Linked DNA regions of Saccharomyces cerevisiae S288C. Each later gene encodes a partner of the first gene's protein in a complex. Each region holds a gene or a part of one and is shown on either strand. Other genes may lie near its edges. A codon is read from its position in the direction of its gene.

Region 1 (3,220 bases):
AACATGATGTAGAATCATTAGTCAAATTCACGTCTTTGGCACCGCAACCCCGACCAGATTCAAACGTCTCTTCTAAATATTCCAATGTTGTGATGAACGATTCGAGCAGAATAGTGTCTTCCTCCACAATAGCTACAACGATGGATTCTCACCACGATGGTAACGAAACCAACAATACCCCAAATGGCAATAAGCAATTAGACTCGCCTACAGATTTGGAAATGACCTTGGAAGACTTGAGAAATTATACATTTCCTTCTGTTCTTGGAGATAGCGTCAGCGAAAAGACCAATCCTTCCTCTCCCTCTGTTTCATCATTTTCTGGCAAATTCAAGCCAAGAGAGTTGAGTGCGCTACATACGCCCGAATTAGGAAATTGTTTCAATGTAGATCAGTCGCTAAATTCCCCTGGTAACAGAATATCTGTGGATGACGTGCTAAAATTCTACTATCAATGTAGTGAAACTAGTACTCCTCGAAATACCTGAACTAGTTTTCTTCTTTCCTCCTCTTCTTTGAACTGCTTCCAAATTCTGTCTTTAAGTCCATCACATGGTGTTTTATGGGATTTTGTATTATTACGGTGTTCGGTTTTCTTTTGGGTATTGAGCTTTTATTTTGGTCTTAATTTTTTTTTTTCTTTTTCAAACCATGGACTTTATTATAATTAATCTACGACAACTTTTAATGATTATTTCTTTCTTCAAATATACACGTATGTATTATTTCTTTTTACTATATTCTTAACTCTTTATTCCTGCTCAGACAACGTTTCAACCAACGTTAATATTTCGTTCTTGTAATTAATCAATTGGGCTATTAAGGGAATACAACCTTTGAAACTTGTCTGCGATTGTCTCAATGAAGAAGGAACGGACAGTACTCCACCAAACATCAAAATTGGGTCGTAGTCTTGTTTAAGTTTGTGACTCTGAGTTTTTTGCTTTTCTGGCTTCGTTCCTTTTTTTCTCTGAGTCAATTTATTATCTTCTTCCTCTTTCTTTTCTTGCTTATCTTGAGCTTTTCTTTTGACGATTTCGACAACTACCTTGGAGTTTTTTTCTTCCACTGTTGCCATTAGTTGACCTATATACGTTTCATCCCAGTAATCTTCACCATAGTTTCCTCGTAATGAGTCTTTATTATAGTAGTTCGATCTGCTCAATTGGATGTAGCCATCCTGGAACCCCTTCTGCAACTGCTCTAAGGTGGAATCATAGTTTGAGAGTAGCTCAATAAGTCTCAGGTACTGTTCATCTGTAGTATCCATGTTCTGTGCCATCCTTGTTTCACTCATCTTCTCGTTAAGCCGTCAATTTTTCATTTCATCGTATCTTCAAAACATATTTACAATTCAAATTTCAAACCGATGAAGATTTGAAAGGCCCAGTCAGCGTTTCATATAAATATCAACATGAATGAAGGACAACAATTTCTGAGTTTATTATATATTTACAAGAATATGGAGTATAATGTGAACATATACGTATACATGTATATATTGAGATCTTGCGAAAGCGTCTATTGCTTGTTTTCAGCTTTCCATTTAGCAGTAAATGCCTTTCTCTTCCTCTCACCACCAAAAAATGACTTCTTGCCCAGTTTAATTTCATGAATTGGCCTATTGTTACGATAGTTATGAACTTGTTTCAGTATATATTTCCTTTGTTGAATATTCACGCCTTTTTCCTTCAATATCTTAGAATCCCATTGGAAAAGGTTGTTCCAGTTATTTTCGAAAGTATCCTTCAATTCGTTGCAATTTCGACCGATCTTGTTTAGAAATGCATCTACGTCAGGTACCTGATCGCTTGGTTTGGGGATGGTCGAACTGAAACGATAGGCAGCTTTAGGAGCGGCCAGCGAACTCCTTAAGAATAGAGGAAATTTGTGGCTAATCCGGGAAGGTATCATAGTAAAACGTGTGTTGAATGAAGGTTTGTTATTGTTTGGTCAAGTTTTCTTTGGTTTTATAGCTCTTGTTTGAAGATGGCAGAATTATTTCAAGCCTGGCTGCATTATTTTTTTTGGTTAACATAATGAGCGTATTATAAATAATGAGTGGAAAAATGTGGAACGATGAGAAGACCTCTGAATATAAAGTTGCAAGTAGTGAAACAAAGCAGGATTTCGCAAAATGAACGTGACACCGTTGGATGAATTGCAATGGAAATCTCCAGAATGGATTCAAGTTTTTGGTTTGAGAACTGAGAATGTTCTTGATTACTTTGCAGAATCACCATTTTTCGATAAGACGTCGAATAATCAGGTAATTAAAATGCAAAGGCAGTTTTCCCAGTTAAATGATCCTAATGCTGCCGTGAATATGACACAAAACATAATGACCTTACCAGATGGGAAGAATGGAAACTTGGAAGAGGAGTTTGCCTATGTGGATCCGGCAAGAAGACAAATCCTTTTCAAGTATCCTATGTATATGCAACTGGAGGAGGAATTAATGAAGTTAGATGGTACTGAATACGTATTGAGCAGCGTAAGAGAGCCTGACTTCTGGGTTATCAGGAAGCAAAGACGAACAAACAATTCTGGTGTGGGAAGCGCTAAGGGACCAGAGATTATTCCATTGCAAGACTACTACATAATTGGTGCAAACATTTACCAATCGCCAACAATTTTTAAAATTGTGCAAAGTAGGCTGATGTCCACGAGCTACCATCTAAATAGCACATTGGAGAGCTTGTATGACTTGATTGAGTTTCAACCTTCCCAAGGAGTACACTATAAAGTACCTACGGACACTAGCACGACTGCAACGGCTGCCACCAACGGGAACAACGCTGGAGGGGGCAGTAACAAGAGCAGTGTACGACCTACCGGCGGTGCCAATATGGCGACTGTTCCCTCAACCACAAATGTCAACATGACAGTCAACACTATGGGTACAGGAGGACAAACTATAGACAACGGTACCGGTCGTACTGGCAACGGTAACATGGGTATAACTACAGAGATGTTGGACAAATTAATGGTCACAAGCATTCGATCCACCCCAAACTACATATGAGAACTGCCATGGCAATTGCATATATCTTTGTACTATATTATAAAACCCCGCGAAATCAACTTTTCAGTTTTCTTCAAAAATCGATGTACCCATCATAAGAAGTTCCCCCAAAAGGAAAGAAATGAGAGGAAAAAGACACGAAGGGAAAACAAAATGAAATTCAGTGGCTTGTGGTGTTGGTTGTTATTATTCCTT
Region 2 (2,794 bases), on another chromosome or scaffold:
AATTGATCTTCCCGAAGAAGAAAAACTAAAAACTTCGATTTGATGACTGTCAAGACCCCAAGAAAGAGGGAAAAAAAAAAATGATATCTCATGCAACAACAAGTAATTAAGTGCTCCTTGTTCATGGAAGACACAACAGGCACCACTAATAACCTGAATGAGGCACCTTCGACTTTCGAGATGAGCCCTTAGTTCATCCTGGTGTTGTGTTTGAGAGGGGGAGAGCACATCATTGTACTTCCAGATCCCCCTAGCCATGATCTAATATTACCGCTGAGTAAAAATAGATCTCGGCTGCGTCTCCGTCTCCGCCCGCCTTCCGTCGGTTACTTCGTCGGTTCTTGCTCGACCCCCGCCAGTCCGCAGACAACAGTCCGCAGCAGGCAAGTGCTGGTGTCCGCTTGGTGTTTTTACGTACGATTGTCTTTGTTGTTGTTTTTACTCTTTATTACAGTTATTACTACTGTTTGTTTAGTATATACAGGTATTTGTGGTATTGATTATTTATTTACGGTTTGGTTGGATTAAGCGTTGCTAGCGTTAGTGTACAACGACGTCACTTCGTCGATGTCCTCGAGCGCTGTGGTCAGTTTCTGTAGTTTCTCGAGCGTTTCATCGCCTTGCACGAAAACTTCCATATCCGGCTTGGCATTGTAGCCGATGCCCAAGTCTCTGATGTGGAAACCACGCTCCTTCAGTAGGGCGGCCACCTTATTGGTATCGGCAGGTTCCATCACCGCCTCGTAAGTTTGGCCTGTAGTTTCAGTTTCGGTATCACACTCTAAATCTTCTGCGTCTTCCTGCACAGGCGCAATGTCTTCGATGCCTTGAATCTCCAGTACGCTTTCTAGCACCTTGTCCTCAGTGTCTAACATCTTCGGAGGTACCATTGTAACGTATCCTTTTTTGTCGAAGAAAAACAACGTTGGAGTCATCGATCCATTAGCTTTATTAAATGCACTCCTTATCAGACCTATGGTCCTGTTCTTGTTGTCTGTCAGCGCTTCCACCACTATAGCGACCCCGCCGGGCCCCATTCCCTCGTATACACATAGCTCAGAAGCGTTTGAGTCCTTGCCCGATGCGCTGCTTCCAGAAGCTTTCCGGATGGCGTTCTCAATAACTTTTTTGCTGACATTGTTTTTATTTGCTAGCTCGATGCTGGTGGCTAATCTTATATTCATGCTCGGATCCGTAATACCGTTGCCTAACTTGACTGACATTGCTATCTGGTTTGCAAACTTGTTATTAATTTTGTTTCGTTCCGCATCATTCTTGGCTTTACCGTGCTTGATGGTTGACCATTTGTTGTGACCTGAACGTACCGAGGAATTCAGCACACTAAACGATCGAGAGTTTTTGAGCAGTTCACCCAGATACCTATTTCTTACCAACATTTTCCAATTTTTGATGCGTTCATACCAAGTTTGCTGTTTTTCTTAGTTATTATCATCATCTTTCCCCTTATTGCTGCTGAAACTTGCGTACGTGCGTACTAAAAAAATTTCACTGCGCTTACGCCGGTAAAGGGAAGTAGGAAAACGAAAGAAAAAAAAAAAATAAAGGCGAACGATAACAGGAAAACCAACGTGAATTGCAAGCACTACATTTATTATATCGAGTTGACAAAGAATTAAGAAAATAGAGCACTACATTTCTATATTCATAGCTAGTCTCACTGACGCATAGTAACTAAATCATGGCTGAGAAACGTACTCTTATAGCTGTGATAGCTGACGAAGATACTACAACTGGTTTATTGTTAGCCGGGATTGGACAAATCACTCCTGAAACCCAAGAAAAGAACTTTTTTGTTTACCAAGAAGGTAAGACTACTAAGGAGGAAATCACTGACAAGTTTAATCACTTTACTGAAGAGAGAGACGATATTGCCATCCTTCTAATCAACCAACATATCGCGGAAAACATAAGAGCTAGAGTGGACTCCTTCACCAATGCGTTCCCTGCTATTTTAGAAATTCCATCTAAAGATCATCCCTACGACCCTGAAAAGGACTCTGTATTGAAGAGAGTCAGAAAGTTGTTCGGTGAGTAAGCGAACGATCTTTCCCAAAACAAACACAATTACTGGTAGATTACTAGTAGCAGGCGGAGGTGGAGGGCGGGAGCCACTGTTATTGCGTTTGTATAATATATACACTCATAAATGATATATTTAAGGTTCAGATAAAAACAACTTTTTTTTTTTTAGCACGTCTTTACTGCAGTCACCAAACCCATTTTTTTTTTCCTATTGTGAATACCCGCCCATATTTTTCACACACAACTGATGAGTAATATAAAACTTTTCTTTAAAATTATAACAAGATACACATATATAAAGACCAAAAAAGGGAACGTGACACGGCCTCGCTAATATACAATCATAATTCATTAACTGATTTGGCTAATGCTTCAATAAAGATATCAGCATGCTTCTCCTCGAATGTTAATGAAGGTCTTAATCTCACTGCATGGACTGCACATCCACCAACGTTGCAACCATTCAACTTCAATTTCTTCAATAGTAAGTCTCTCTTCTCACCAGTAGGCAAATCCCAGGCAATGAATGTGCCTCTTCCTTTACCTCTCAAGTTTTGAAAGTTTTCAGGGTATTTCTTCTGCAAACCCTCCAATTTCTTGAACAAATAATCACCTACTCTTGAACATTGTTCAGTCAACTTCTTGTCGGAGATTTCCTGTCCAATGGCACCTGCAATGATCATTCTTGCAGGTTCACCACACCATGTGTTGAATTGTCTGTATGGTTTGTTTGGAATGAATTTAGGGTCGT

The links.
Region 2: the proteins of VMA22 (region 1) and VMA7 are in contact, whole or in part, in a cryo-EM structure (PDB 8EAS), measured with the Saccharomyces cerevisiae proteins. Residues at the interface, in NP_011927.1 of Saccharomyces cerevisiae: Tyr17 (codon at 1,249), Leu20 (codon at 1,240), Leu24 (codon at 1,228), Tyr27 (codon at 1,219), Leu31 (codon at 1,207), Leu34 (codon at 1,198), Gln35 (codon at 1,195), Phe38 (codon at 1,186), Tyr42 (codon at 1,174), Leu45 (codon at 1,165), Ser46 (codon at 1,162), Tyr60 (codon at 1,120), Gly61 (codon at 1,117), Glu62 (codon at 1,114), Trp65 (codon at 1,105), Asp66 (codon at 1,102), Glu67 (codon at 1,099), Thr68 (codon at 1,096), Tyr69 (codon at 1,093), Ile70 (codon at 1,090), Gly71 (codon at 1,087), Gln72 (codon at 1,084), Leu73 (codon at 1,081), Met74 (codon at 1,078), Ala75 (codon at 1,075), Val77 (codon at 1,069), Val86 (codon at 1,042), Ile88 (codon at 1,036), Lys92 (codon at 1,024), Pro132 (codon at 904); in NP_011534.1 of Saccharomyces cerevisiae: Glu3 (codon at 1,706), Arg5 (codon at 1,712), Thr6 (codon at 1,715), Ile8 (codon at 1,721), Glu14 (codon at 1,739), Asp15 (codon at 1,742), Thr16 (codon at 1,745), Thr17 (codon at 1,748), Thr18 (codon at 1,751), Gly19 (codon at 1,754), Leu20 (codon at 1,757), Leu21 (codon at 1,760), Leu22 (codon at 1,763), Ala23 (codon at 1,766), Gly24 (codon at 1,769), Ile25 (codon at 1,772), Gly26 (codon at 1,775), Gln27 (codon at 1,778), Ile28 (codon at 1,781), Thr29 (codon at 1,784), Pro30 (codon at 1,787), Lys35 (codon at 1,802), Val39 (codon at 1,814), Gln41 (codon at 1,820), Ala65 (codon at 1,892), Ile66 (codon at 1,895), Leu68 (codon at 1,901), Asn70 (codon at 1,907), Ala90 (codon at 1,967), Ile91 (codon at 1,970).

Annotation. Positions count from the first base shown.
Region 1 is NC_001140.6:218,802-222,021, reverse strand, and holds VMA22 (Vma22p), read right to left. Parts: upstream 1,298-3,220; coding exon 752-1,297; downstream 1-751. Other genes in the region: GIC1 (Gic1p), read left to right, coding at 1-488; mitochondrial 37S ribosomal protein mS41 FYV4, read right to left, coding at 1,522-1,914; mediator complex subunit MED6, read left to right, coding at 2,138-3,025; peptidylprolyl isomerase CPR2, read left to right, coding at 3,179-3,220. UniProt on the Saccharomyces cerevisiae protein: Required for V-ATPase activity.
Region 2 is NC_001139.9:526,235-529,028, reverse strand, and holds VMA7 (H(+)-transporting V1 sector ATPase subunit F), read left to right. Parts: upstream 1-1,699; coding exon 1,700-2,056; downstream 2,057-2,794. Other genes in the region: post-initiation translation factor DPC29, read right to left, coding at 525-1,397; UGA1 (4-aminobutyrate transaminase), read right to left, coding at 2,385-2,794. UniProt on the Saccharomyces cerevisiae protein: Subunit of the V1 complex of vacuolar(H+)-ATPase (V-ATPase), a multisubunit enzyme composed of a peripheral complex (V1) that hydrolyzes ATP and a membrane integral complex (V0) that translocates protons.